Linked DNA regions of Daphnia pulex. The main gene of each other region encodes a partner of the protein of the gene in region 3 in a complex. Links are inferred from orthologs where the notes say so. Each region holds a gene or a part of one and is shown on either strand. Other genes may lie near its edges.

What was found.
Region 1: E3 ubiquitin-protein ligase RNF113A-like (region 3) and spliceosome-associated protein CWC27 homolog share a complex: the UniProt entries of both Homo sapiens proteins name them as parts of the minor spliceosome. The link is inferred for Daphnia pulex from reciprocal best matches to the Homo sapiens genes RNF113A and CWC27.
Region 2: E3 ubiquitin-protein ligase RNF113A-like (region 3) and armadillo repeat-containing protein 7-like share a complex: the UniProt entries of both Homo sapiens proteins name them as parts of the minor spliceosome. The link is inferred for Daphnia pulex from reciprocal best matches to the Homo sapiens genes RNF113A and ARMC7.
Region 4: E3 ubiquitin-protein ligase RNF113A-like (region 3) and probable small nuclear ribonucleoprotein E share a complex: the UniProt entries of both Homo sapiens proteins name them as parts of the minor spliceosome. The link is inferred for Daphnia pulex from reciprocal best matches to the Homo sapiens genes RNF113A and SNRPE.
Region 5: E3 ubiquitin-protein ligase RNF113A-like (region 3) and puff-specific protein Bx42-like share a complex: the UniProt entries of both Homo sapiens proteins name them as parts of the minor spliceosome. The link is inferred for Daphnia pulex from reciprocal best matches to the Homo sapiens genes RNF113A and SNW1.
Region 6: E3 ubiquitin-protein ligase RNF113A-like (region 3) and smad nuclear interacting protein 1-like share a complex: the UniProt entries of both Homo sapiens proteins name them as parts of the minor spliceosome. The link is inferred for Daphnia pulex from reciprocal best matches to the Homo sapiens genes RNF113A and SNIP1.
Region 7: E3 ubiquitin-protein ligase RNF113A-like (region 3) and U5 small nuclear ribonucleoprotein 200 kDa helicase-like share a complex: the UniProt entries of both Homo sapiens proteins name them as parts of the minor spliceosome. The link is inferred for Daphnia pulex from reciprocal best matches to the Homo sapiens genes RNF113A and SNRNP200.

Annotation. Positions count from the first base shown.
Region 1 is NC_060020.1:8,995,689-9,000,587, reverse strand, and holds spliceosome-associated protein CWC27 homolog, read right to left. Parts: upstream 3,040-4,899; 5' UTR 2,645-3,039; coding exon 2,603-2,644; intron 2,542-2,602; coding exon 2,376-2,541; intron 2,307-2,375; coding exon 2,263-2,306; intron 2,189-2,262; coding exon 2,152-2,188; intron 2,091-2,151; coding exon 1,957-2,090; intron 1,878-1,956; coding exon 1,848-1,877; intron 1,779-1,847; coding exon 1,642-1,778; intron 1,579-1,641; coding exon 1,420-1,578; intron 1,331-1,419; coding exon 1,199-1,330; intron 1,132-1,198; coding exon 944-1,131; intron 868-943; coding exon 747-867; intron 684-746; coding exon 521-683; 3' UTR 476-520; downstream 1-475. Other genes in the region: trypsin-1-like, read left to right, coding at 4,733-4,899. UniProt on the Homo sapiens protein: As part of the spliceosome, plays a role in pre-mRNA splicing. Probable inactive PPIase with no peptidyl-prolyl cis-trans isomerase activity. As a component of the minor spliceosome, involved in the splicing of U12-type introns in pre-mRNAs.
Region 2 is NC_060018.1:4,531,355-4,535,129, reverse strand, and holds armadillo repeat-containing protein 7-like, read right to left. Parts: upstream 2,300-3,775; 5' UTR 2,202-2,299; coding exon 2,093-2,201; intron 2,026-2,092; coding exon 1,720-2,025; intron 1,654-1,719; coding exon 1,535-1,653; 3' UTR 1,043-1,534; downstream 1-1,042. Other genes in the region: probable G-protein coupled receptor, read left to right, coding at 1-874, 952-991. UniProt on the Homo sapiens protein: As a component of the minor spliceosome, involved in the splicing of U12-type introns in pre-mRNAs.
Region 3 is NC_060022.1:4,929,236-4,933,495, forward strand, and holds E3 ubiquitin-protein ligase RNF113A-like, read right to left. Parts: upstream 2,473-4,260; 5' UTR 2,249-2,472; coding exon 2,081-2,248; intron 2,010-2,080; coding exon 1,817-2,009; intron 1,761-1,816; coding exon 1,536-1,760; intron 1,453-1,535; coding exon 1,269-1,452; intron 1,204-1,268; coding exon 864-1,203; 3' UTR 716-863; downstream 1-715. Other genes in the region: protein unc-45 homolog B-like, read left to right, coding at 1-248, 326-494, 579-685. UniProt on the Homo sapiens protein: Required for pre-mRNA splicing as component of the spliceosome. As a component of the minor spliceosome, involved in the splicing of U12-type introns in pre-mRNAs. E3 ubiquitin-protein ligase that catalyzes the transfer of ubiquitin onto target proteins.
Region 4 is NC_060026.1:14,103,437-14,106,458, forward strand, and holds probable small nuclear ribonucleoprotein E, read right to left. Parts: upstream 1,671-3,022; 5' UTR 1,546-1,670; coding exon 1,498-1,545; intron 1,418-1,497; coding exon 1,249-1,417; intron 1,190-1,248; coding exon 1,122-1,189; 3' UTR 983-1,121; downstream 1-982. Other genes in the region: serine-rich adhesin for platelets-like, read left to right, coding at 190-587. UniProt on the Homo sapiens protein: Plays a role in pre-mRNA splicing as a core component of the spliceosomal U1, U2, U4 and U5 small nuclear ribonucleoproteins (snRNPs), the building blocks of the spliceosome.
Region 5 is NC_060018.1:215,777-220,446, forward strand, and holds puff-specific protein Bx42-like, read left to right. Parts: upstream 1-1,602; 5' UTR 1,603-2,076; coding exon 2,077-2,093; intron 2,094-2,165; coding exon 2,166-2,786; intron 2,787-2,848; coding exon 2,849-3,047; intron 3,048-3,113; coding exon 3,114-3,430; intron 3,431-3,498; coding exon 3,499-3,777; intron 3,778-3,849; coding exon 3,850-4,051; 3' UTR 4,052-4,186; downstream 4,187-4,670. Other genes in the region: uncharacterized protein LOC124188708, read right to left, coding at 4,339-4,553, 4,615-4,670. UniProt on the Homo sapiens protein: Involved in pre-mRNA splicing as component of the spliceosome. As a component of the minor spliceosome, involved in the splicing of U12-type introns in pre-mRNAs.
Region 6 is NC_060018.1:419,163-422,861, forward strand, and holds smad nuclear interacting protein 1-like, read right to left. Parts: upstream 2,098-3,699; 5' UTR 2,042-2,097; coding exon 1,070-2,041; 3' UTR 986-1,069; downstream 1-985. Other genes in the region: biotin--protein ligase-like, read right to left, coding at 1-25, 103-637, 706-851, 914-922; sulfotransferase 1B1-like, read left to right, coding at 2,702-2,945, 3,271-3,367, 3,450-3,600, 3,680-3,699. UniProt on the Homo sapiens protein: Required for pre-mRNA splicing as component of the spliceosome. As a component of the minor spliceosome, involved in the splicing of U12-type introns in pre-mRNAs. Down-regulates NF-kappa-B signaling by competing with RELA for CREBBP/EP300 binding.
Region 7 is NC_060022.1:2,641,768-2,646,755, forward strand, and holds the end of U5 small nuclear ribonucleoprotein 200 kDa helicase-like, read right to left. Parts: coding exon 4,514-4,988; intron 4,444-4,513; coding exon 2,204-4,443; intron 2,135-2,203; coding exon 854-2,134; 3' UTR 707-853; downstream 1-706. Other genes in the region: palmitoyltransferase ZDHHC16B-like, read left to right, coding at 1-77, 140-414, 473-572. UniProt on the Homo sapiens protein: Catalyzes the ATP-dependent unwinding of U4/U6 RNA duplices, an essential step in the assembly of a catalytically active spliceosome. Plays a role in pre-mRNA splicing as a core component of precatalytic, catalytic and postcatalytic spliceosomal complexes.

The DNA.
Region 1 (4,899 bases), on a different chromosome or scaffold from region 3:
GAAAACAGAACCTTGTTTAATTCATTTAAATAAATTTTGTGAAGTCAAAATCAACTTCGACCAAGTCTCCAGTGCCCCCGCCCTAGCGCCCCCGAAGAGTCCATTTATTTAGTCGTGCGCATTTACCATTTGGTTTGATAAAAACACGCGTCACACATTTAGCAACATTTAGTAGCTCTGCAATTTCCTATTCTTGATTCTTTTGCATAAGTCCGATGTTTCAACAGATAACCGACACAGGCACGCTGCTTTTATCCCCGGTTATTTCGTGACCGTTCGTGACCAATCCCGTTTATATTGATCCCACGAAAAATTTTGGAGAATTTTCCTTTACATAACAATTCCTTTACGCGTGCAGACTACTTTGGCTACAATTGACACACAAGTTTATGTTCCAGCAAGCCTAAGTGACATTTGTTTCTGATTTTCAAGCTCGTTGAATCAAAGAGAAATTGGTGAGATTAACAAACAAAGGTGAGTTTTATATGTGCATTTCAAAACTGGAGATCATTTTTAGTTTTTAGTTGAATTTCCTCTCTTTCATGATCTTCTTTGATTCCTCTCTTCTTCGTTTGTTTAAGGGGTTACGGGGATCGTAGATTTCAAACCAATCATCACTTTTTGTATTAGCATCTCGGGCTAACGAAGGATTTTTGTCTTCGAATTTCAACGTGTGATTCAACCTAGAAAGAAATAAAGAAATTCTGCAATTTTCAAATTTATAGGGATAAAAAATTATTTCTCACCATGCATCATCATCGTTTACGTCATCAATATCATCAACGCCTCCTTTCGTTGTCCGAGTTTGGCTAAGCTTACTCTGAAATTTTTTAAGGAAATTAAGGGTTTCAGCTTCTCGGTCCGTGCCTATTCCAAATAGAATATTAAAACTTGTTGATGATATGATGAGGTAACAAATATTTTAAACAATTGATCTATTTACCCTTTCCTCGCCGTGTTGTTTTTATGTCCGCATACTTCTTCTGCTGCTCATGAAAATCTTTAAGTATTTCATTATCTTCTTCACTGTCGCTAATTTTTCTTTTCTTAGATAATTCTTGATCTTGAGGAGTTTCACTTGGGTTTTTCATTTCCCTTTTCAAGTCTCTTATCTGTTCTTTGATTTGCTTTCTAAAAGTAAAGCATTTACTTATGAGCATAACTATCAAGTAATTGTTATGACTTGTTTGTTTCTTACAGTTTGTTGTTTGCTTCAGATTTCTTTTGGTTCGAAATGTCAACATCTACACTTTCAGGTGATACTTCTGGTTGCAAATCAGTTTGAGGCACAACCTTTTCAAATTGCCGTTCAATTTTTGTCGGTTTGTCGCTGAAAATATGACATGGAAATTTTACATATGAATGTAGACCATACACAGTCTTTGAAAATGATCTGACGGCTTGTTCTATTAAACGTACTTATTTGTTAACCCCGTTTCTACGTTGACTGCAGGAACAATGCTAAGTTTAGGGTCGTTAGTCAGTTCATGAGAAGATTTCCCACGAAAAGACTTAGTTGGCTGATGAACATCTGTTTCATCTTCTTCTTCGTCCCCAAAGGAAAGCAGCTGAAGATTCCTACAGAATCAAACACAAGCTCTTATAGCAGTTATAACAATATTACATAGCTGGACTTAATACTTTTTTTTATTTATTTTAGATTTTATTTCCTCTGGTTTCTTGATATTTTCTTGGCTAATCCTTGGTTCAATGTCAGGGAATGGATTAGAAATAACTTCTGTTTTAAAAATTTTAGGTGGATGACGAGGTCTATCTTCCTATAGCGTTTATGATTTTATTGATTTTATTATTTTATTATTTGAGTTTCAAAATTTAAATATACTTACACTATCAATATCCAAGTCATTAAATTTGATCTATGAGAAAGAGAAAAAATTGTACATTAGAATTTCTTGAATAATTTGTTCCCAGCGTAATTAACAAATTGTCAGTTACCATGTTGAACAAAGTATTCCCAGCAACCCTACCAAAAATTGTGTGCTTATTTTGCAGTTCCGGACAAGAACCCAAGGTAAAAAAAAACTGTGATTCATTGTCATTGTTTCCAGTGTTAGCCGTTGCAACCAATCCTTAAAAAGATGTTTGAAATGGTACATTATGTAATAAAAACACAGAAGATGTTTGCTTTACCTCTTCTGACAAATCGTAGACGTGAATGAACTTCGTTCTGAATACCAAAAGATTGTAAAAGGTTAATAAAGACTGAAATAATGAATTCTATTCAAATGAATACTATGTAACCTTGAATGGTTCCCCATAAATACTTTCACCACCATGGCCAGTCCCTAAGAAAAAGGGGTGGTAATTGTTTCAATCAAATATAAATAACAACAGATCACATTATTAAGTTTTACCAGAAGGATCTCCTCCTTGAGCAATAAAATTTGGTACCACTCGGTGAAAAATTGTTCCATTGAAAAATCCTTCAAGGCATAGTTGAACAAAATTTCTGCAAGCCTTTGGACATTCTTTGCTCCACAGTTCTATTTCAATTTCTCCTAGAGAAGTAGTCACAACAACCTAAACAAAAGTTACGTTTTAGCACGTAGTTCAATCAATGATACATGAAAAGAATACAAACTTTTCCATTTGTTGGTGGTTCTTGAACGTATATGTTACTCATTGTTGTAAATCGAGGAGAAAAAGGAAGAAAATCAAAATGAAACTAATTAAAATTCCGTGTTTTGATGTGTATAATGTGCAGAGGTAATGTGTAGCTCGACAAAGCTAGTAGTAGTAGCAATCTAGCATCTATGTCAGTTCTATGTCTAGTTCGGAGTTGTTGGCTGCTAGTTCGAGCGAACTGTGTTTGGTTTTTTTTTAAACAAACAAACCATTTTATCCTTTCGACTCACAGCGCTACTGGTGGCAGACGATTGCAACGCACTGTAAATAAGAGTTGCCTGATACTATGCTGGCCATACTCATACATTTATCGCTCTTGAATTCTGAGTTTCTGACGGAAAAATTCACTTATCTTCAGTCTTATTCGATAACTATCGTTGTATCGTATGGATTTAGTAAAAATAGATTTCCTTATAGGACACACATAGAACTAAGCTCGTGATTTACTGATTTGGAATTTCAAAAAATCTCTCCCAACTATTTCTTTATCACTCATGAAATAATTAGTTAATAAATTCATTTTAATTATTTTTCTCTTAAAATTTGGGATCAGGATTTCAACTGTGATGTCCCAAAACTGAAATCTGCATTTCTGTAAAAAATTAAAAATCTGCTGGATAGCTCCATACCCTTAATTTGATCTAGAAACCCTTTTTCCTCATCTTCCTATTCCTACCGCTATAATATCTCAATTGCGTTTTGTTTTAGGTATAGAAACTGAAAAATCTAAAGTGTGAGGAAAGCCTTTGTATCTTGTTTTCTACTGTGCTAAGAGTATTTTTATTACAATAAATATATTTTAAACATTAGATTTAAAAACTTAAACTTTACCGCGATCAACCTGACAAATTTTCTTTTATGAAATCTGGAATTTTTTTTTTTAATAACCCGACCTACTTTTAGTAGGCAAAGACGAAAATTCAGTTTCTTTTTTGGAAAGTTGTGTATTTTAGCTGAAGGTTATTAATTGACTAAGGAATAGGACAAACCAAGTCATGGATGAAGCTATGACCACAATGTACCAAACAATAAAAGTATGGCCTGCTTTCTCCAAATTCTATTTTCTCCCAATTTGGTAAACGAATCTGCTGCTGCGATACTTATTATTAGCATGTAATTAGCAAGCAACTTTACGGAGGCTTCAGAACAACAACCGCAACAAAATCGAATAGCAAGAGGAAACGCAAGTACCGTGTGAACGTGATGAGGATGAAGCCGGATGAAACGCCTATCGGACGATGACGCGACATGACACACTGAACGTATGGCAGGCTGACAAATTTTAGACTTTTTCACCTATTTTGGGGTTTTTCCGTAACAATCATTGTAAACCTTAAACAAATATATCTGAGACAACCGCGCATACAAATGGGGAGTTTCAGAGGAATTTGCATAATTTTAAATACATCTGAATGGTATTGTTAGTGTTTAAGCGTAATTGATGTGTAAACGGTTGTGAATAGAAAGTATTAGGGCGCATAGTTTGCGTGGCTGCTTCTCCATGGTTGATGAATCTTCGTAAACAGCCATGCAGCGTATAACGTTAGTTTAATAGCGACGTGACCTGGATTTCTTCGGTAAACCATTGGAAATTGCGGAACCTAGGAGAAAGTGAGGAGAGAGCAGAACAAATGAAAGGATGACGAAGAGAAATGTTACGATTAAAAGTCTACGAAATCCAACCACGAGCGGTAGGCATTCAGTGGTGTTCCTAGTGCCTCGCAATGAGGTAGTGTTTGGTCTCTTCACAAGTTACAAGGAAATGTTTTGATAAAACTATCAACGTCACATGAGTCATCATAGCTTTTCAATCAAATTATGGATCATTGTGTATAAGCGCCTCCCTTTTCGCCGTTAAATCTTTCGGACTTGCTTTTCTTTTTTGTTACTTGTCGTTGCTCCCAGTCGTGATTTCTTCAGTGGACCAAGTTACGCGACCGTGCTATGTCTTCCAACGCGGAACTAGCCGTTATCAGGAAACACTGAGTGTTATACTTCAAAAGCGGAATTGTGACGAAATTTCGTTGTTGTTACATTCTAAAATACAAACCGTCGACCGAATTTGGTGTGGATTGTACACATAGAAATGAAGAAATGTTGTACCGTGAACGTTCTGTTACTTTTAGTATCAATAGTTTTCGCAATGGGAATCGGCAGTGTTTGCTGCTTCGATATTCCTACGGAATTTCAAGAAGGTTACCAGCAATTTCCATTTTCATCTTTTCCATTTTCCGATCCAGTGAGCAATATTGA
Region 2 (3,775 bases), on a different chromosome or scaffold from region 3:
CTGGTTCAAAAAAGTGGGTGGTAGCAGGTTCAAATTGTTCGAATGACCATACTGACGACATTCCTTGGGGTATGTGTACCGCCTTGCAGGTACTACATAATTTTTCAATTTACAATTCCGCTTGGTTGGTTTCTGCTATTGCAATTGAAAGAAACGTGTCCATCACTCGCCCATTTTATGCGGCTTCGGCATTAAAATATGCGTTGTTGAACGCAATCGTGACAGCGGGCAGCATACTTTTTGCTTTAATTCCAATTTTCCAATTACCTGATCAAACTTGTTATGCGCCATACGCCTATCGTTTTCAGGATCCAATTTTCCGTTGGTTGCAATTTTTGGCAGTCTATGTACTTCCAATCATTATTATCGTAGTAATGTATTTAAACATTTACCGAGTTGCACAGAATGTGCAAAGAACAATTCAGCCGACCCCTTCTCTGTTTCCTCCAATTAATGAAACGACTCCAAGAATATGGACTGTAAATCCAGTTGTCGTTTCGCAAACAGAATCAAGTATGGTCTCTAATAAGAAACGTAATAAAGCAATCAAGACGTTAGTGCTTACAATCGGTTCCTACATTGTACTGTGGTCGCCCTATTGGGTATTGAACGTGATCCCCATTGTTCATCACGAAGATTTTCTGTGTGACGCAGTTCCTGGGTACGTTACAAACAATGGCTCTATAACGGTGACGTGGCTTATGTATGCATCAATCAGCATTAATCCACTGTTATACGGTCTCTTGAATCGTGCCATCCGAATAGAAATCAAAGGCAAAATGCAAATGACAAAGCATTTTTTGTTTTGTAAGAATACGCAAACAGAATCAGCAAATCGAGAAGAGCATGGAGCTAATGCGGCAGAAAATTTCTGGTAAATTTTAATTTAATCCCTATAATTTATTAGTTATGTATTTACATTCACCCATTACACTTTGAAAAACTGTCTAGGGAGTTCTTGGAACGGACTAACAGTCCTCTTCCTGCTTGAAGTTAAACGTAGATCAGCTGAAGAGACGCGCCGAGAAATAAACGCATAGGCTACATGGATGTAGGTTTTATTTTAATCCTTTAAATTTCAATAATTTAGCGGTACCTTGATGAACAACACATTGCTGATTAATACTTGTGCACACGTATTTACAGACAACAATTTTTCTGGCTTCTACGACTTCTACTAGAATTTCTACATCATCACCAACTCGACAGGGATTTGGAAAAGTCATTGATTGTTCATAAACAACATAACCAGGCCCAGGTAACTGGGTGCCAAGAACAGCACTGACAAAGCCATTAAGCAAAACCCCATGAACTATAGCTTCCCCACCAAAATGAACTGAATTTAAGTCACCTGTCAACTTGGAAAAACTTTCCACATCTGCATAAGTTACTTTTTTAAGTTCTACTACTGTGGAGCCTTTCTGAATGAATGATTGAAGAAATCTTTTGTTTATCCCTTCAGCAAGATTCATCTTCATGTTGGTGCTCTTCTGGAGTATACACTTTATTCTCTTGATGAACATTTCCTTTCAAGTTAGCCTGAACTGATGCCAGATGACTCTTCTAAGAAAATGGTAGCCAAGTTCTTTATGTTTTGATTTTCACTATGTTTTAACAGTTGAATCTGGGCAATCAAGTCGGAAGTGGCAACATCTGTTGATAAACATAGATGAGAAATTAAAATCATAAAATGGTGTTACTTTTATTAGATCTTACTACCTGATGGAATTGCTGATGAAAGTAGAAAAATCAAAGTAGTAAGTCCGTGTTTCACTAAATCAGGGTTTTCAGACTTTACAAATTCTTTAATATGATTGAGTCCATTGTGTTTGAATATTATATCTTGGTTCAGGGGATCATTGGACAAATTACAAATACCCTTCAAACAGTATTCAACAAAGAATGGATTTCTGCTTTGCAGTCCGTTTAAGAACAATTCAATTATTTTGAGTTCTCTGATATAATCATAGTTCAAGGGATCATACGCAAAATTGGCCAAATTAGCTAAAACTTGTTCTTGGCTTTCTAAAATAATTGAAACAAATTATTTAGTAGTAATTTTTTAAAATTTGTTTTTAAAGATGAAACATACCAAGAGAATTCGATTGATAGAATTCATTAACCAACTCTTGAAGGAATTCGAAGCGATCTACTCCCTTTTTACCCGATTTTCGATAAAGTTGTTTACGAGTAGTAAACATTATCCCTGAGGGTAGTACTTGTACTACCAGAAGGCATTAAAGTAAATGCGGGTGTCTGGGTGTGTAGGAGGGGGAGGGATGTGGGGGGAGTGTACGGTGTTCTGGGCCAGGCTTCCAGAACCTTTAATTCAGAATCAGAATAAATTTATAGAAATCTAAACTACTGCATCGATTTTCTTCAAACTTTTTGTGTAAACTTACAGTAATTTATCTCAGCGGATAGGTAAGTTTCGATTCATTTGGTAATACTAAATTTTATTTCATTTTATGCGGATTTAGTCATTAGCTTTTTGTGACTTAGGACAACCACAAAAACCATTAGGTTGTCTGTTGACAGTCTGTTGATGTCTTGTTCAGTAAAAATAAATTTCGTCAACAGTTTTGTTATTGTTACAGGATATTGTTCCTCTTTTAGAGAAGTTCAGTGGAACAAAGGTATATTGGTGTGTGCTATTCCATTTAAGAAATGTACGTAAATTCATCAATTATGCTAGGCAATATTTTGGGATGAACAACTCACTGGCCCCATTGGTTTGGTGGCAGAATACAGTTTTCTTAAGGAACTAGATGTTGTAAAAATGTTCCAGTTAAAACCTGGGTGCTTGCCTTCCATATCTGTTAAAAATATACTGTTCATCACAAGACCTGAAGTTGAGCTGATGGATTGTATTGCCGATAACTTGCACAGGTATGAATAATCTACATATTTTAACTTTAAATAGTCAACAATAAGTTAATTTACATTTCAGCGAAGAAAGCCAAGGACATTCTGCTAGTAAGGAATATCAGTTAATTTTTATCTCCCGATGAAGTGCAGTATGTGAACAGCGGCTCAAGGTTGGTTAAAGTTACTTAAATCAGCGAAGAAGAAATTGTTGACAAAATTATTACTTCATTTAGGACAAAGGAGTGTATGGAACTCTTACTTCTATTGATGAACTGCCTGTTGATTTTTTCCCACTAGATAGTGATGTCATTTCAATGGAACTCGATAATGTTTTCAAGGTATTTATTTATGAGCCAAACTTTGAAAGGGATTGCTTGTCATCAATTTCTTCAAATTTATTCTCAGGATTTATATGTTGACAATGAAATCAGCTCCTTACACCAAATTGCTCATGGGTTAATGTCCCTCCAAAGTTTATATGGCATTTTCCCCAACGTTGTGGGTAAGGGGCGCCATGCCCGTAACGTATTCGAATTGATGACTCGAATGCGAGTGATATTGGGGTAGACTGTGATCCCCCCATATCTCCGTTGTTCGACACTCTTATGATCATTGATAGGACTGTATATTTGATAACTCCTGTTGTCACTCAGTTGACCTATGAGGGTCTTATCGACGAATTCTATGGAATAAAACATAGTAAGAAAGTATTGTTAGCTTCTGAGTAAAACAATTATTTTACTTGCATTTTGTGGTTTCATTGTTATTTAGATACAGTCAAGCTTCCAGGAGAAAATTTTCAAGCCTCATCACATGCGGGCCAGTCACCTCGCTCTGATGGTAGCTCTGTTAAATCTGTTGTTCTAAACTCGGCCGAAGAGCTTTACGCTGATTTGAGGTGAAATTT
Region 3 (4,260 bases):
AAGGCGTTGCTAAAATCGAGAATTACATGTACGAAAACCACGAAATGTTGAAAAAGGCCTCGGTTCAAACGATGAGCAATTTGCTGTTTAGCGAAGAAGTGGTCAAACTCTTTGAGGGTAAAAACGACCGCACCAAGTATTTAGTCTTACTTTCCACTTCAGAAGACGTTGAGATGTCCAAAGCTGCTGCAGGAGCCTTGGCTATTCTGACGTCAGTCAGTAAACGGGCTTCACGGAAAGTTTTCGAGGTTTGCCTCCATTCTTTTTAACTTTTTCCCTGGAATTGATTTTAACTTTTTTTTTCTCTTGTTAAATTTGTCAATAGGCGACAGAGTGGAAAGAAATCCTTTGCTTCCTACTGAGCAATACGGACAAAGACGTGCAATATCGAGGAGCTGTTATCGTCAAAAACATCGCCAGTCATTCGAAAGAGTTGGCCGAAAAGTTGTTGCAACCTGAGGTTATTATGGTCCTGGAAGTTCTCACCAAATTCGGTAAAGAGGATTAAGTTAAAACTTTTGACATGGTGCCTTGAACTAATCTTTTTTGTAACCCATTTGAATCCGCTCTGCACACAGAAACACCTGAAATGGCCAAAATTTGCGACTGCGCCAAATCAACCCTGGAAATCGCCGAGCAATGGAAACTGATCGAGAAGGAGGACGACTCTGAAGATGAGTCTTGATAAATTTTAATGAAATGATTTAAACAAAAATTAAATTGTGTGCCTATGCAAATTCACTCGTTAAAGTTAAATACACTTTATACGTCAATTGAAAGCATTATTTAAAAAAGAAGGAATTACAAAATAATGTATTCTTACACGTGAATGGTAGGGGGAAAAAATAAAGATGATCTTATCCTCAATCGCTGTCATCATCTGAATCCGTATCGTTGGCCACGACTCCTTCGTCTGCGTAGTGAATGTGCTCAATCTCCGTAACGGGCTCCTCCACATCTGCTGTTGCTCCCGTAGGTTTACCAGTAGTGCTGCCAGACGGCTGCATAATCAATTCCAAGTTGTTGAGCTCCTCGTCGCTGTCTGCTTCCTTGTAAGTTTTGCCTTCTTCCTCCAACTTGAGCCGCTCGATGAGGCTCTTTGCCGGGTTAAAGACACCAAAAGTTTGTTTGCCGCAAACAAAACACCGCTGCGATTTGCGGTAATGTTTCAAGGCGCAGGCCTCGCAGAAATAATGCTTACACCTGCCGTGTCAAAATTTGCGTTAAATTCTCCTTCTTATAAATGAATAGGAGAGAGTCTTTATTACTTGGAGACAACGGGATGTTGGAACGACTCGCGACAGATGAAACACTTGAAGGGCAAATCTTCGTCGTCCGAGTGTATTTCATACTTTGAGTCGTCTTCGGCCGGCTCACCTTTTCCCCTTTCTTCTCGCTCCAACTGCCATCCGAATTTATAATCGGAACGGTCGTGCAAGAACTTACAACTGTCTAATAAAACACAGCAAAGCTTTATAAAAGTTCAACTGAATGATGATAATAACCCCAAAAACTTTTGGTTAGATTTTGAATACCTCCGAAACCGCAGAAACCCGTTTCCTTGTAATCTTTACAAAGATCTGGTTGGTAATCCCATCTCACTGTTGACCTGATGTTGGCTGGGGCTCGCATGGGGCCTTTTCTCACATTGGCAGATGCAGCATTTCCTTGGGCTGTATCTCTTTTCTCGTAGTACTGGGCATAGTTAGCAAGGCCACGATATTTCTTGTCATCTGCTTTGCCTTTCAGCTCCTGCTGGACTGTCAAAGAAACAAAACATTATTTTGGTTCATTTTAAATAAAAAAGTTGACCTACTTTGTAAAGATTTCTCAAAAATTGTCCTGGCATCTTGATCGACGGCAGTGTCGATCTGAACTGTGGAAGTGGCAAGATCGTCTTTCTTGTTCTCAGCACTTCTGTCAGACTGGAAGACGACTGTGACCTTTTCCTTGACTTCCTCATCAGAGCTGTTTTGGATTTCTTGACGGGACTTTTTCGTGGATTTGAACTGTCAACCCCAAAAGAAAAAAACACGATGAGAAACACAAATTCTTTTTGCAGAGACTTTCAATAACTCACAGTTTTAGCCGAAAGAAGTCCAGCCGATTCCTTTTTCCCCACTCGAGCAACAACAGTTTCATCTTCGCTGCTGCTTTTCTTGTCATCATCAGCTTTTCTCCTCATGGCGGCTCCTCCTCCTCTTCGTTTCTTGAATGTAAACGTGCAAACTTTATTGTCGTCGGCCATTTTTGTTTGTTTGTGGATTTTCTTGTTGGATCAAGCTTTCCTTTTTTGTATATAAAAATGTATTTTGACTTGTCAACAAACGAGAACAATAAAATAAAAATCCTTCCGTCTTCTCGTCGTCGGCTTTTCAAAAGGATTACCGGTGCACTGTTGTCTGATTCCTCTAATTGGGTTCTTGATGACTGATTGAATACGCAGCAAGGGATCTGCTGCAGATTTACATATATATGCACAGCAACAGAGACTAGTACATAGAGAACTATGCACACACACACACACAAAAGCTTTTATTATTGTGATCCAGATTTGTCATCTACGATGTCGGTATTAATGATCCGACCCCGAAAACCCGCTTGAGACTTTGAATATATCTTAACGTCATCCGTTTCTACTACTACTACTACGGGTTTTGCTATTTTGCATTTGTTTTGGAAAAATAAAATCGACATATCTTATTGCTTTACATCATTATTATTAGGCATCGTCGTCATTTCTTATGGTCTTCTTCTAATCATTTCCATATGCCTTGGTGATTTATTTTCCTTGTGCAAATGAAATGGATGGGGGGAAGAATCACGTTACTTAAAAATCTCTGGCGACTCGATTACACACAGGCAGTACAAAAAGGAGCATCCTTTCATTAATTAGTAGGTTCCCCTCTAATAATCTGGTGGCGTGTATATATGTATAGATGTGCTCGGCGCATCACAGAGTCTGAGGACCTTCTTCTTTCTTCTCCTCGAAATAATAATACGCACTATATACGCTTCTGCTGGCGATCAATTAGAAAAGACTGCCGAAGCTTTTAAGAACCTTTTCGCCACATATGACTGAATAATAATTCTATTTTCTTAATTCCCCTACCCAATTTTTATTAATTTTTTTTTTCTGGGTGGGGCGGCGGCCACTGAACTGTTATCTCCTCTTCGTTCGTCTACTTTTTTCTTTTTGCTGGTTTTTGGGGGCTTGTTCTCCGCGGGCCTCTTTCGTCTTTGCCCGATGTCGCGCTTATTATTTCTATATCATCAGCAGACTGCTAGCTGCTGGGGGCCGTTCGCTTGATGATTCCCTTACAGCGCCTTAATTAGCCCAGCACTTTTCATCAAGTTGAAATAATAAGGAACGCGCAGGCCAGAAAACCCGGCCGCAAAAGTGCACGAAGCGCTTCACCGTCCGATGAAAAGCTACTTGATCTCCATCCTCCGACTCCATTTATACACCTATACTGCACTACAATATCTATACCTATTCATTTAAAACAAAAAATATTTTTATTTCGCCGTACCGTATAAGTAATTTTTCGGTCAAACTTGTCGCTGACTGAAAAGCCCATCTAGCCAAACTTTGACTTCCTCCTCCAGCAGGATTGGCACATTGACTTATTGCAGCACAGTTTTGCAGATATACCGTTTCGTTCTATGCAAAGAGGGGAGGAGGCTATAAATAGGGACTCAATGATAGATACATGTTATGCATAAAGCGAGGGCCTATTTATACAGAAGCTGAATGATCCAGACAAGATATATAATATCCACATGCTACACTACTATACACGTATAAAAGGGGCTTTTGAGAGAAGGGCCAGCACGGCAGCAGGATCAATCCTTTACACAGCACACACAAGTTACGCGCGCGTTCTAATGGGGCTGCTGCCCTTTTATGAAGACTTTTCGCTCTATGTTCTCTATATGCAGTTTCAGCGTATATATCATCTATATATTAAAGAGTTTAGATACAGTTGTTGCTGGGCTTTTAACCGACTTTTAATGGCCTTCAAGGTTAGATTACATAAAAGGTCGACTAACTGCTGCTGTGTATTTAGTTCAGTCTGTGAAAAGTTTTCCACAGTCTCCGGTGGGCGCGCTTGGCTCTAACTAATCATCTAAATCTGATAAATAGCCTTTTATTTATATCCTTGGCAATCGAGGCTGCTTCCTATTTCTAAATTCGGGTGGAGAAGAATATAACGCGTGTAGCCTACGTGATCAAATAATGACATTTGCTAGTAGACG
Region 4 (3,022 bases), on a different chromosome or scaffold from region 3:
TTCTTCCGTTCCAGTTGATGGAGGTAAAACTATTTTATTTTTTAAATCTCTCACTTATTTCGGCTTTTGGCTTCCGCTTTATGTACACACACACGTTCTTTGATTCATGTAGTTTCTACCTTATAGTCTAATCATCATTTTAAAAAGTTTATTTTGTTTTTGTTTTTTTACGATTTTTATTTGTTTTAGATGTTGTTGGCGAATCGTTGATGATGTATGGACTTTGCCGCGTCAAAAGCTGCCCCGACATTGTGGATCAAATGAACCAAGATGGTCTACTACCGACCAACATCCATTTGGAATTGGAACTGAATAAAACTAACGGTAAAACTAGCGACAGCCAGCAACAGACTTTGGTCTTGTTGAGAGTGGCCAGCAGCAGATCACGCCGCGATAGTCAAACGCAACGCTATTCATGCGGAGCCCTGGATGGCAAAGTCTTGGTTACGTCGAATAATAATAACAACAGCAAAATAATAAAAGATTCGTCGTCCAACCCGTCACCCTCGCCTTCGGGCTGCGGTTCTAGACACAATAGCAATTCCAGTTTGAATTGCAACAGCTTCTCTGTTATCGAAGTGTCATAATAAATTGATAATTATGTATGTGTAATTATTTTAAACACTACTTTATTTTTAGGGTCTGAAATTTTGCTAGTTTTCACTCTTTGCTATGTTGTACACCCCCCACCTAACAGGCTGATATCATTGATACTTTTATTGATTTTATACTTGTACCTTCTATTTTAAGTGGTTACACAATGTTGTGCAATAGGTTATTTTTATTATTGTAGTCCACATGAAATGACTTGTTTTCAAAACATGATTATTCTTGTCATTGTGTAAATTATTCTCTTGCCGGAGACATTTTTCATGTGTAAAAGTGGCTAGGCTTCATCAAAATAAATATTGGAAAATATTACTAGGGAAATTTATATAAAACTAAAAAATAATAAATAGATGTTGAGAATGAAATATTCAAGTGTGGTTGTAGCATCATGTTTTTCTTATCAGTCAGCACATCAAGATTGGATGTACACAAAATCAGTTCCCCGTTAATCAAAGGTAATACACGACAGAACACAAATTGGGAATGCATTCTGACCAATTAATATAGGAAGATTAGTCGTCTCCACTTCCTGCAGCATTTTGGATTAGAGTAATGTTGTCACCTTTCAGCAACACCCGTCCTAAAATAAAACAGCATTTAGAAGACAGAATAATTGTGAGTAAATGAAAACGTCATTACCAATCTGTTTTCTGACATTTGTTTTGACGTAGACTTCCTCTGCATCATCGAGAACAATGTTCATGTACTCATCAAATCCAACAATGTGTCCTTCCATGTGCATGTTGATGTTCTCATAAAGCCAAATGTCTACTCTTGATCTTGTCTGAAGGTATCTGAAAATCAAGTTCTGGAAAAAGACATTTTTGACACACGTGCCGGTTAATAAATCTTCGTGCTGAAATCGAAGTGATAGTGGTGAAAACTTACGATGGGTTGAACCATCACTTTCTGGACTTTAGGTGCTCGGGCTGCCATTTATCTTGAATTGATATTTAATTGATTCCACACGGGAAAATTATCAAATTTCTAAATGAGAGTTGTTTGAGTTTACACTTTTTGTTGAAGAAGAAACGAACACAGACGCTCAATTGCCAACAACGTTGCCAGATATTTATTTCCTCGTAGGGATTTTCCGATATTTTTCAAAAAGACAAGGGCGGCAAAGGCAAGCAGGCAAAGCAGCCAAGCAGCCAAGCCAGAGTAACAGAATATTACTTTTTTTATGCTGGCATCCCGTTCCGGTTTGCGAGGTTCCCGTAGGAAATAATATCAATTAAAAATTTAAAAAAGCAAAAGTAAAGTAAACATGAAATTCAAAATTAATTACATGAATCTATCGGTATGGTGAATGGGAGGGGGGACGGGCTTCGCCTGCCACCCCCGCCCCCCCCCTCTTGCTTCGTTAATCGCTTAAATTACTGTTATACTTTTACATTAAATAGTATCAATCAAACAAGGCCTATCGGAACATCAAAAAATATCTGTGAATCATAAGGGGTGCGACTTAGGTGTGGCGGAGGCTTCGCCCCGCCACCCCACGTCGCACTCTCTTTTTAGCTTAAGTAACAGCAAAATTTATTATTTTCATAAGCAATATGAAATAAAAAATAATTAGTTATAGTTACAGATAAATCTGTAAACAGTTAGAACAAACCAAACCACAACACCCACCCTCTCTTACGCTTCGTTTAAGTTATTTCGATATTTTTACTTGAAATCGTATACTAATAAAAAATAATACATATCGAAATCAATTAAAACATATCGAAACATTCAAAAGTTATGTCAAACATTCAAACATTGGGGTGTGACTTAGGTGTGTGCTGTGGCGGAGGCTCTAGGCCGCCTAGAGCCTAGATAGATGCCAGTTAACTTTTACTTTTGGTCGCTAGAGCCTAGATGCCAGTTTCTACGCGCGCAGTTCAAACTGTTTTTCATTTTCGAGGCGCGCAGTTCAAACCGTTTTCCAATTTCTACGCGCGCAGTTCAAAATTCCAAAAAGCCATCTATTGGCGAAATTTGAACTAATCCTCCCGTATGCCAAAAAACCTGTAGAATTAATATATTTTTCTATTACTCTGCTGACTGGGCCTGTGGGCTGTGGCCTTGTGGCGTGTGGCCGTTCTGCGCCGATCTGCCGTTCCTTTCCTTACAACAACTGATGCTTGCTGCTTGGAAAAATTCACAGAATCACAGCTAATACTGCTAATACTTTTCATTTAATGTCAACTTTTGGGCTGTTCTCGCCTTGGGATCCACAATGAGTTTCGCTGTTCTGTTCGTGGAATAATTTTTTTAAAAAGAAGATAAGGACATATTCATACGAGGGGTCGAGGGCATTCTCTGACGTAACTATAAAACATACGGTTTTAATTTGCCAAGTGTGTCACTGTGTCACATCTCACCTACAGTATTTAATTCAAAATTGGTAAAAGTCAATTTTCAAATTTTA
Region 5 (4,670 bases), on a different chromosome or scaffold from region 3:
ACTCTAGTCTGGATGTCACATCAACTTTATGAGTTTACGGTCACGTCCTGCTAAAGTTGACCTGTGCACGTACGTTATCCTGATTACTCATTGGAGCGAGAATATTGTGTGCTCGGCGAGGCGAGACATCAAAGACGAGATGAGAAAAGAATAGAGTAGACGTAACATATCTTCAAGTAGCTCATAATTAAGAAGACAACCTCTTTTCCCCTTGTAAACAATTGCCATGGGGAAATGTCGCGGCTTCCTGATACATTTTCATAAGAAACACACGCATATCTACTTGAATGAACTGTATACATCCTGCATGCATTTATTATTGTTCGTCTTAATGAGATGCTCGGTGCTGTTGCGTAATTAACGTGCCTCGGGACCTCAACTATCTCTCTCTCCATGGGCAAATAACTTGAATAATAAACATGACTGCTGCCATGGGCTTATCTGTCAGTAAACTTCACCATCAGCTGCTGCGCCACAAGCACCCCGGTGCCAAATCAAGTTCCCCTTGTGCCAAGGCCTACATAGTATAGTCTGAGCGAGACAAGGCGGCCTATATCGATCGATCCGTCCAAAGAGCCTCAACCAACCCCCACCACCCAGCCAACTGTATTATCGCACAAGGGAAAAGGCGAAACTGCTATACACACACATATATAGTCTTGGATCAAATAGATGATATATATACAGAGGAAGAAGAAGACTTTGATAATGAGACGTGCTGCTGCTGCCGTTCCTTTATTTATTGGAGACCGGCATCAGCACATCTCGTATTGATTTCCTGTTGCAAAGAGAGCAGCCGTCGTCGTCGAAAAGTTCCCAAATCTTGTCCTACAACTGTCTCTCTATTATCGGATGTACTGTATGCATTGTGGATGCATTATAAAGCCCTACGCCGCAAAAGAGATTTATTGGCCCACACATTGAAAGTCGAAACGGAAGGCGGAAGAGAGACGGAGATGAGGCGAGCTCACGGTCACCGCACATCCACATTTATCATTTGTTATGGGACGAGACTCTGAACTGCCTCGCTGATTCGCATCGCTTCAAAATGAGAATCTATTCACTATAGTATATCAAACTCTTACGTTGGCATTTATGGCCACCGGATTTCAGACTGTTAAGCCAGCTATCCGTTGATAAATCAGATGGTGCAACCCTCCCAACGAGAACAGCATTTATTTTTACGACTGTGTCGTCGTCGTGGGATATATTGGCCAAAGTGAAAGTTTTTAAGGTGTTTACTTTTTTCATATGGCGATGCGCTCAGTTCCGCTCGGCGTCCAACTTGTAACACAGAGAGGGTCGATTTCATCAGCGCTCACTTTTACACGTCGGCGTTAATTGCGTTGCATCAAACGAAAAACACAGTGGGCGGCAACTCGTTATATTTTGCCTTGCCATTAGATGTTATTACAAGCAGATTGCAAGAGACGCGAAGTTCCATTAGAGTTGACAAGCGTTCGTATTTCAACTCGGGGCGGGTATGGATTACTTGACTTTCTTATTCTTTTCCACCCACTCTCGACTTTCATCTCATTACCGTAAAAAATGCCAAGAACGGCTGCGAGGAGAAGGAAAAAGGTTGTTGACTGCGCTCTTATTTTTTTATGGAACGGAGAAGAAAAACGTCGGAAGGAATATGAGAGAGAGACTGTAATAAGAAAAGGCGCGCTAACACTCTCATCTCAAGTGCGTCTATTTATTCCGCCCATCATTAAACCTTATTGGATACATCCAACGCAGAGCATACACACACACACGGCGCCACAATCTTGTAAAAAGTTTTCAGGATCGATACGACGTTTTTCCTTTTTTTATATAATTCCCATCACGTCTTGAGCGCCCCATCCCATTGATGGAGACACAATTTTATGTAAACTCTGGATAATTTAATAATATTCTTTTTTTTTTAATTTGTATCGAATAAAATGTCGATGTTGCGAAAAGCCGAAAATATCCCGCATTTTATCTCGCTCTGTTGCGAAGAAACAATCTGACAACGTTGCATCATAAATTATTCTCGAGTTACAATTTTTGTATTTGGCAACATCTTGGTTGAAAGACTCGACTGAAAACATGGCGTCGTTATCAAGGTATAATAATTATTTTTTTGATTTCCTTGTATTTAAACTATGTATTAATTATGGTCATGTTATTTTATACAGTTATCTCCCAGCGCCAACGCAGTTGACGTGGGATCGAGATGTCGAGGAGCAAAAGGAACGTGCTAATCGCCAAACGGCCATCGTGGCCGCCACAAAGGCAATCCCACCATACGGAAATCGCGATTCATGGATGCCTCGAAATGTTTCCGATTTCGGAGATGGAGGTGCTTTTCCCGAAATTCACATGGCCCAATATCCAATGGACATGGGTCGCAAAGACCAGGCTGGACAAAAGTCAAATGCCTTGGCCATCCAACTTGATGCAGAGGGAAAGATCAAATATGATGCTATTGCCAGGCAAGGCCATGGGAAGGACAAACACGTCTACTCCAAATTCACTGATCTCCTGCCTGCTGAAATTACCAATGAGGATGATCCCTCTTTGCACAAGCCCACAGACGATGAAATTGCAGATATAACAGAGAAAACGAGACAAGCCCTGGAAAGAATCACCAATGCCAAAGTAGAAGCAGCTCTTCCAGTCCGTGCCGCAGAGAGAACTGGCCCTGCTCAATTCATTCGCTACACACCAGCACAGCAGGGTGATGAATTCAATTCTGGCGCCAAACAACGCATTATCCGCATGGTTGAAGTACAAAAAGATCCCATGGAACCCCCAAGGTAAATTTTAGAAAAAGTGCCATTTCATTTCATTCCCATATTGACTGATTATTTTTCACTAGGTTCAAAATCAACCAAAAAATCCCCCGTGGTCCACCTTCTCCTCCTGCCCCCGTGTTGCATTCTCCTACACGTAAAGTAACTGTCAAGGAACAACAGGAATGGAAAATTCCGCCTTGCATTTCAAATTGGAAGAACGCTAAAGGTTACACCATTCCTCTTGACAAACGTTTGGCAGCCGATGGTCGAGGACTTCAACAGGTGCCGTCCCTAACGACCTAAAAACGTGTCTTTCCCCAATCAACTAAATGTTGTTGTTTCTCGCAGGTTCACATTAACGAGAAATTCGCGAAATTGGCCGAATCATTGTACATAGCCGATCGAAAGGCCAGAGAGTCGGTTGAACTTCGCGCCCAACTTCAAAAGAAACAAGCGCAAAAAGAAAAGGAAAAGAAGGAAGATACTCTGCGACAGCTGGCGCAGCAAGTCCGCGAAGAGAGAGCAGGTCTGCGACCCGGTGCAGGCGCTGCTGCTGCTCGTGAAGACGACGATGATGCAGCGGAGCGTGACAACTTGAGACAAGAACGGCATCGTGAGCGTCAACGTGAGCGCAACATTGCACGCGCGGCTCCCGGCGATAAAAAGTATTAAACATTTGATTTCCTTTCAACTTTTTCCAGTCAATTAATTAACAATTTCCATTGACGCGTAGATCCAAACTCGATCGCCAACGCGAGCGTGACATTAGTGAGCAGATTGCATTGGGGATGCCTGCTCGAGCTTCTGCAAGTGGCGAGACCATGTACGATCAGCGTTTACTGAACCAAACTCGTGGAATGGACAGTGGATTCGCCGATGATGAGGCCTACAATGTCTACGACAAACCTTGGCGTGAACAAGGAACTCTGTCCAGTAATCTCTATCGTCCGACCAAGAACCTCGATCAAGATTTGTACGGCGACGATTTGGATAAACTTGTCAAGACCAGCAAGTAAGTTGACCTACTTTCAAGGTGCATTGGTTTATGAAGTTGAAACTCATTTTGTTTTTCATTTGTTTACAGGTTTGTACCTGATAAGGAATTTAGCGGAACTGATCGTTCTGGTCCTTCCGGCTCCCGCAGTGGTCCAGTTCAGTTTGAGAAGGAAGAGGATCCTTTCGGCCTCGACAAGTTTTTGACGGACGTCCGCAAGGCCAGTAGCAAACGACCCACTGACGCGGAACGCTCAGACAAGGACAAGGATAAGAGACGGCGTCGAGACTAAATATTGTTTTTCTTTCCGTTGACGATTTCGCAATTTGTTTCATTTTACCTCACACAAAAAAAAATCTTTTTAAAAAAACCACAAAAACAATGATTCCTTTTCTCCAAGACCAGAATACATTTCAAATGAAATGTCTGTGACTAGTTTTATTTATTCATTGATTACGAGACAAAACACTTGATTCAATACTGTAAAGTGACGAAACATTTTGCAAGAATGTACATAATGGTAAATCGAAAATGCAGCAGAAGACTTGAATATCACCAGACAAGTGTAAGTAATAATCATCATGAAAAGAGTCCAGTGGAAAGTCCACGATAAAAACACCTAGCCTCCAGAAGCCTGTGTAGCTGCTCTATGCTGATAAGTCGGACATGAGCTTCTTCACTCAGCTGCTGTCTCTCCTGCAGCAGCCCAACCAGCGTGTCAGAGGTATTGTAGATTTGCAGTAGCAGCCAGTCTTGCAACTTTTTGAGATCATCAATCGCAAGGTTTTCACAAACTGGGAAGAGCAACACAATTAAGGGTTTGCAGGTAGAAAAGAAAGAACACGTAAAACTTACGAGAGTAGGTCTGTTTAACTGTGCGGGGTTTGAGCTCAAGTTCAGTTGGCAAAGTG
Region 6 (3,699 bases), on a different chromosome or scaffold from region 3:
GACCCAAGACTTTGGTCTTCAGCATCTTTAAGATAGAAAGAGAATGAAATTATGGAAGCAAAATGATTTAAAGATAGAAGAAAAAACTACTGGTTAAGTTACATCAAAATAATCGCGTTGGTTAAATCTTGAGCTTTGGTTTCTGCGAATATTTATCGGTGGTTCTTGCTTGTTTGTCGAAAATGACTTGGTGAGCTCAACAGTCATCATATCAGGGGACTGTCGGCCAAAATTACGGAAAAAAGCTTCTTGGTGATAAGGTTCAGCGATTAAATGGCCAACCATTTGCTGTGATTCAATACGAGCCTCCTGTTGACTTTTGACTTGTGTCTTAATGTGGAAGTGAAGTTCTAGAATATGTGGAAGTACTTGAGCGAAATCAAGCTTGTCGACTGGTGAGACTAGTAAGCCTTGATCAGATACGTACTTTGTAACGCCATTCACTTGGGTTCCATTCAGCCATTTTGGAGAAAAAGGGTGTAGGGAAAGACATTGACCACCCTTCTTGATGTACTCTTCCAGCGGATCGTGCAAGTCATTATCAGACCATCGAGAAGCAAGTACTAGGAGGCTTGTGTTGCTTAGCCAAGCTTTTTTAGAACGAAATGAGAGTTCATCGAGATGGTAAAGGGCATAACTGTCAATCAATGTTACATTGTTTAAGATCAAGAATCCAGATATCAAATGTCTATACTGTTTATATACCAATCCGGCTCTAGTGTGGATTCAAAGAGGGCTCGATATTGCTGAAAAACTTCTTTGTCACTCGTACATATTAGAATGTTGGGCGGTCTTGCTGAGGAGGCCAGCAGTCGTTCCACAGGTCTCATGACACCAGCAATTTTGGTTACCTGTTACCAACTGGTTGTAAAAATTGCTTTAGTTATAAATTTGAATTAACGTGACAACTTACGAATAACATGAACAGCCCCACTGATGTGTGAAACCTGGAAATGAAATGAAAGAACACTTAAAGACGATTGAATACCTTTCGCAGAAACATTAAGTGTATTGCGGCGTTCAAAAAAGAAAATTGTTATGATACAAAACATTGCTGGTCACCAACGTGTCACTGCCCCACTCCCATATCGTCCAAACTAGCATCTGTTTTGCTTTCTTCATGAAGGAGAACATATTCGCGGGAACTGAAGCCAAACTTCACCACATCCTTCTCGAACAATTCGACGTAACGTTTGGATTCAATTTTTTGATTATTTACAAAAGTACCATTGGCTGCTTCCAGATCAATAATATATGGCCGGACAGTACGTCCTGCAGTTCCATCAGGCCGTTCGTAGTTTACCAACCGAAATTGGATCGCAGCGTGCTGTTTCGAGCAAGAGGGATGGTCGATTGGAATATCAGCAACTTTACGATCTCTTCCGATTAAGTAGGCGCTTTGACGGTGAAGGTACAACGTAGGCAATGCCTCTTCCCCTTTAAAGACGTAAAAACGCCACCGTCGCTTGGGAATTCTGGCTTCAGGTGGTTCACTGTATTTGACCACCACACCATTGAAAACATTCTTCTCTTCAGTCAATTTTCCTGATAGACCAAAGTTGGGTTTTTGCTTTTCAACGAGTGTTCCTTCTTCTTCTTCATCTTTAACTTGTTGGCCATACTGGTAGTTGGCTGCTTCAGCATCTTCACTTCGGGGGCTTTTGCGTCTCTGCTTAAAAGGTCTTGGTGGTCGATCTTCTGAATGTGGTTGCTCATGCCGTCTTGAAGGCCCTTCATTGTGTTGTGGACGTCTGAAACTTTGTTCATCATCACTAACTGGTTCTTTCTTGATTTTAACTGGAATTGGTGGGTCATTTCTTCGATTACTTTCTTTGTGTGAAACTTGTGAATCATGTCTCCTGCTGTCTGATTTCCGACTTCTTTCATAGTCATCACTTCTTGAATGGTAATGGTCGCTTCGTGAAGATTTTCGTGGTGGGGAAGAGTCACGTTCTTCACGACGTCTGTGAGTCTTGCCTCTTTCATGGCCTCGTTCGTGGGACCTTTTGGGACTCCTCTCGTCTTCGTTGTGCTTTACCATGGCGATCCAAACGAAATAAAACAAGATATGCACAAGTACTCTCTAATTACCTTAATGTTTCTGGCGTATTTCTCAAAAAAACGAGATCAATTCAATGTTTCAGTTTCAGTTTGATACAACTCGTTTCTCGGCTTGTCAACATGAAATGGTGTCGCAACTCGTAACCGTTGCCAGATTTACTTTCATCCACCACCTGTAAACGGCTAGCCGCTAGCGGTCCGCCGTCCGCGGACCTGCTCTCTGCTGCCTCACTGCCTGCTCTTTAATGTATTTATATTCTCATTTTTTTATGTAATGTTTTAGAAATTGAGTAATGCTTATGTATGCCAAATTGAGAATTTTTGTAATCGATTACAGCATAACATTTTCGAAATCAAAATTATGTTGTTAGAGAAGTATATTTTTCTTTTGCTCGTTGGGTCGTTGTAAAATATTTAAATAAATATTATCAAATATCTGATATTGTAATACATATTTACGTGGATTTAATAATTTTGCATTTGATTTAACGACGAAAACCAAATCGTTAAAATTTGATGTGGCACTCGCTGAGTCGCTGTTGAGTATAAAAAAGGAGGCCACGGTGTCATTCAGTCGTCGCGGTCTTTGTTCGATCCTTTTTGCCGTTGCGTTTTCATTTGTTGTCTGAGCTCTCGCACGATGACAAACCCCGAAAATCCTTCAGTTCCTCCCGAAGTTGTTCCAGAGTGGAACATAAAATTCAATCCTGTAGAAGTGAATGGAGACTTGAAAGAACACTTCACAAACTACGAGCAGCATGGACTGATGAAGAGCGAACCTGGTGGTTTTCTCTTAACGGATGAGTATGCACGCCATGCCAAAGAAATTTCACGTTTTCAACCAAGAAGCGACGACGTTTGGGTAGTAACCTTTCCAAAATGCGGTAAAATCCTTTTTCAATCATTTTTAAGATTTTTTTTATGTAATAGCTACATTTTTATAAAATAATAATTCGTAAAAATAAATATCCTAGTGGTATTTGTTTAGCAATTACTGCTATTACGTCACAATTTATTTCTTTGTCATCAATTTTTTTGGCCGTAGCCTTGAAAGTCTAGTAGCCAAATGGCAACCTTGTATTTCTCCCCGCCTATTTTAAAACACATAGTTTGAAACAAACAAATACAAATCTCTCGGATCTTGAAAGTGTTAACTTTTCGTATTCTCCCGCACATATAAAATTGATAACTTTGAATTTGTTTACTTAGGAACGACGTGGACACAGGAATTAGTGTGGATGATTCTCAACAATTGTGATCCAATTGGATCTAAGGCACCACTAATAGTTCGGTCACCCTTTCTAGAGTATGTCAGTTGTTGGGATGTCATTGAGAGCTTTAACAAGACATTTCCGTTTTCGGTTTATGAACTATATGGACTCTTTAAGGTTCCCATACATGATTGGTAGCTGTCTTCCACCAGAGCACAGCAAAATGCTGATTACACTTGATAAGGTTGAGCAAATGCCTTCACCAAGAGTTATTAAAAGCCATCTGCCATTTTATCTTCTTAATCCGAAGTTATTGGATACTTGCAAGGAAATCTAGTTCCCTTAATCATATTTGTAAACCGTAGGCGATTGGTTGTTACTAATATTTTATCTGCTGTGTTTTGCAGGTGGTTTATGTAGCCCGTAA
Region 7 (4,988 bases), about 2.3 Mb from region 3:
ACGAATTATCAAATTTCGATCCTTCGGAACCAATAGGATACCCAGTATTCAGTAACGGATCTCATGTGCATCCAGTGGTATCAATGAATATCAAACGAACGTGCATACAAACTGTTGAAACTCTTAATCATTTAATTAGCAGGTAGAAGAAGTAGCTCCAGCACCTCGACCAAGATCACTGAGAAGGGCTGTCGCTGTAACGGAGGCAATACTCTGTGCCGGAGTTTTAGCTGCCTTGAGTGCCTTAGTTGGGTGGCACGCCAGACTTATATCCAGAGGGGAAACGAGCATTGAAAATTTGACTAACAAAGATGACCGCGAAGCTAAACGATTAGAAGGAAATGTCTTTGTCAACCCACATGACTACGGTACTTATGAAAATTGGCGGATATTTCTTGGGCTCTCTGAAGGAAGGTAATCAAGTTTAAATTGCTAAAGCTTTATGTTCGGTGATTAATTGTTCTTCTCTCAGAACATGGTGGTGCGTTTTCTTTCCATCTGTTCATCCTCCACGAGGTGACGGAATCTCATGGAACTTCAAAAATGATCTGACTCATGTTTCTTACAAATGATCAGTTTGTATAAATTAAAACGCTTATAAGTTACTCCCGCTTAAATATGATTGTGAAACCTAGTGTAATTTTATTTGTGATTAATCGAATTTTTCCAATCAATAATTCGAAATAAATCTCACGTGTGCAAACAATTGAAATGATTTAGCGCATTTTATTCATAGCGAGCAAATATGCTTAGTGGCATGACATTTCTCACAATGTTTTAAAAACGAAACCGGTCATGATACCAGCAAAAATGGAAACAAAAATAAAGATTGAAAAAGTTTTGGACTTCATGTTTAGTTGGAACCAGAGTCAGAATCTTCAGAGTTTGATGGTTCCTTGACATCGATGGTAAACTTGTACTCTTGATCACATCCCGTGTACGAATCGCTCATGAAATAAATGGTGTAAGAATGCTGGCCAGGAGTCGTTGGAGCCGCAAAATCCAATTTGACTTTGGCCTTCTGCTGTAATGTCTGACGTTTGATGGAAACGAGAGCATTAGCCTTCGGGTCGCCGATTACTACCCACCAGCCTTCTTCGCGTTTCTGTGGGAAGAAAGGAGCAAGGACTGGGCCAACGACTTCATCTTCACGTTCAAGGTTCACTGCAATCACTACAGATTGTCCTGAAGTGATTCGATCGCGATCCAAAACGTCAAATCCCAACTCGATGTTGGGGTAACGATTGCAGAATCGCGCGACGTCCGCCATCTGGGACTCATTAAGTCCGAGTAGAGTGTTGCGCTCGTCGTCCTCCATTTCCATGACGTCGAAGATTGTTTCGAGTCCCTTGTCGGTGCACCGTTTGACAATCTCGGTGGTGAAATGAGGTAGCTGCTTCAGGTACGAATCCTTGGACCACATAGCTTGAGTCACCATCTGCGATAACTCCATGGCGGCCACAGCTGGTGAAAGCCATCCGTTGGAGCTGAGCACATCCACAGAGGCCTGAATCAATCGAATCGCCTTGCCCAGAATGAGTTCCGTATCCTGCTGCAACTCCGCTGGCAACTGGACGCGAGACAAATGAGCTTGCAGCAAGAGGAACGTTTTAGTGTGGGGATCGCTAAACTTGGCATTAGTCTGAGGCTTATTGGGAAGTCTGGTAGCCAACTGACGTAATACGGCTTCTTCTCCATGCCGGACTGGCACGCTCTTATACTCGGCGGCTGCTGAAATAATTTCCAATAAACCACGGATTTTGGTCTTGGCGTTGAGCGACAAGCTGAACAACTCGATCGTCGTGTAGTGGATGCAATAGTAGGCAGCAATCATGCCCAAATTAAGCGGACTAACGTCGATTTCTTCCTCGATGGTAATGCACTTGGATTGCTCCAAGTCATTCAGCGTGCTTTCCACCAACTCGGACAAGTGGTCAGACAAGTGTCGATGACTCACTCCCTGAAGATTGTAGTAGTTGGGATTCTGAGTCATCCGCCGGTACAAAAAGGTCCACGTCAAGTTGTCGACAGCGTCCTGCTTGTTTTCAATTGTTTTGGTCACGATTTCGGCGTTGAAATGATCGTGAAGGCAATGGTCCAAATGGCTCTCGATGGGCAATGGTTCGTACAAGAACTAGAAAAGAAAGAAACAAATAAATAACAATCAAGTGTTACAACATTAGGAGAAAGTTTCCAAGTTTACCTTTTTATAGAAATCTTTTTTGGACGATTGGCACAGGAGAACGCATTTAGCGTCGTCATCTTCGCGCGGTCGATTAGCCCTGCCAGCCATCTGGATCAAATCGGTAATGGGATAGTCATCGTACATGTGTTGTTGACCGTTGTAACTTTGCGTGTCCATAATGATAACCAGGTGAGCGTGAACGGAGACAGCCCAACAAAGAGTGCGCGAAACGACAACGATCTGGATGGCCCCAAGTTCAAACAGCTGCTCCACAATTCTTCTGTCTTGGACTGTAAGACCTTCGTGCAAGTATCCAACACCTTGCTTAAGTGTTTCGTGGAGTGTCTTGTCGGTTAGCCGTTGGATGAAAGGTTTGATGTCCTCCAACTCGGCATGGAGATAGCGTTCCGGTTCGTTCTCGGCGGCGGCGTAAGTCAGGATATCGAAGGCCGTCACGCGAGACTGCTTTCGCGACGGAACAAAGACCAGTACCGGCTTTTTCGGTGAATGCTTAGAAATAGCGTTATGCAGAGGTTTAGCCATGGCAATGAGGCGAGACGCATTGTGGGTGATGTTAAATCCCTGGATGTGAAGTTCCAACGGAACTGGTCGCACGTTCGGGTGGAAATTGAAACTGCCGTTTGCTGGGCAACCCAACCACTGCGAAACGTCCTTGGCATTGGCCAAAGAGTGACTCAAGGCCACTAACCTGATGGGTTTCTGAAGCTGGGCACCGATGTAGCGCATTCTTGAGCAAACTACTTCGAGTGTAGGCCCGTCTTCTCCGCCCAGCAATTGAAGTTCATCGACGATAAACAAGTGAACGTTCTGGACATTCTTCCTCTGCTTCCAACGACGTGACAAAACATCCCAGTGCTCTGGAATCGAGATCAAGATGTTGGCCTTAGCCAAAAGTTTCAGGTCGGTGCCTGTTTCTCCAGTCAACATGGCCACTTTCTTGCCTAATCGCGATGCGAATTTGTCTTGCCAGTTGATGAAGAGATTATCCGCAAGTTCTTGATTGGGGGTAACGTAGACGCAACGAGCTTCAACTTCAGCTACTCCTTCAGCCGAAGCCTCTTGTTCTTTCTGACTGAAAAGGCGCAGAATGGCAAATTCAGCACAAATGGTTTTTCCAGCTCCAGTTGGAGCACCAATAAAGACGTTATCGTCGGTGTTGTACAGCGCGTTAAACACTTGCGTCTGAATGGGATTGAACTGCTGGAACGAGTCGGCGTAGAGAGCTTCGTAGGATCGATTACGCAAAGCAGTGACAGGAAGCGGCTGCAAATCCAACAGCTCAGTCGGTGGTGGGTATTTATCCGGCAAAATCAAGTGACGGAATGAAACAGGCAACTGCGTCTCCGAGGAAATCCAATGATCCGAAACAACGCGGATAAAGTAGTGGGGTGGCAGAGGTTCGAAAACTGGAACGAAGAACTTGACCAGATGTTCGTCTTGTGCGTAAATCGATTTCAAAAGAAAGTATTCGTGGTGGAGAATAACCTCAGAGTCCACATCCTCGACAAAGATCCAGAAAGCTTCAGCTTTGCCGTGAATCTTGTCGTCCCACTGGAAATCGGGAGTAATGGTCAATTCCACTTTGAGCGTGGAGCGAGTGATTGGCTGAATGTGAGTAGACAACTCCAGCTTGGGAAACTGATGAACATACTTGTGGATGGTCTTGCCCAATTTAGGAGCTCGAATAAGTTCTCCCATTTCGGTAGGGCCTAGATCGTAAAGTCTTTCCCACGGCAAACTCTTTTTCTCCAATTTTCGAATGATCTCCTCTGGCATCTTCTTAAATTGCCGAAGCGGCGACATGGATTGCCACATGCGACGATTAATCATCTTGCTCAGTGAGAGGGCTTTATCAGCTAGCTGGGCCCATCCTCGGCTAAGAACCATCTCGAAAATGGCTCGGATGAGACGACCAGCTGACTGAGTCACGTAAACCATGTCAGCCATCAAAGCGAAGCCTTCCAGTTTCAGCTGCGAAATGTAGGCTTGCAATAGAACGTTGACTTTAGCACTAGGCTCCTCGATACTTTCTTTGATGGGTATAGGCACACGTTCCATAAGTTTCTGAAGTTCCAATTTCTCTTCGTCACGTACGGTGATGTTGCGGAACTCGGAAGAGAGCGAAAAAACTCGGAATAGTTCAATTTCGCTCAAAGTTGGCTTCAACAGCTGGTTGTAGGTTGCCATGCTTGCGTTGGTGCAATAATAATGACTGGCAATTCTTCCCAATTCCGTGCCTACATTCCAACACAAGACCCATCAATTTCTGTGGACATTATAACAAAATTGCAATGTAAAATACAGTACCTTGAAGTTGACCGGATTTGCGATCGTATTTGAGCAGCTGGCTCTTCTCAAGTGAAACTGCTGCCGTATGGATCAAGTCAGCTCGGTGTTGCTCGAGCATCGGATCTTCCTTTAGTTTGTCGACCGATATGCCGTAAAGTTGCGGTGAACGAAGCATCCTGATGTAGAGATAAGTGTAGCTCAACCAATGGACGGCGTCTTTGACATTTTGCACTGTGCCGGAAACGATTTCAGCGTTCAGCATGTCTGGTAGTTTGCTGACCATTTGCGACTCGACGGGCAATTGCTGATTTTGCAGCGACAGGTAATACTGTAACTCGCTGTGGTTGGTGATGAGGATACCTTCACCTTTGGTATCGTACTGCGGTCGACCAGCACGACCCAACATTTGCAAGACATCGAGAGATCCAAGTTCGCACCATCGACCTTTCTCCGGATTGTAGACTTGCGTTCCTTTGATGATGACAGTATGGGC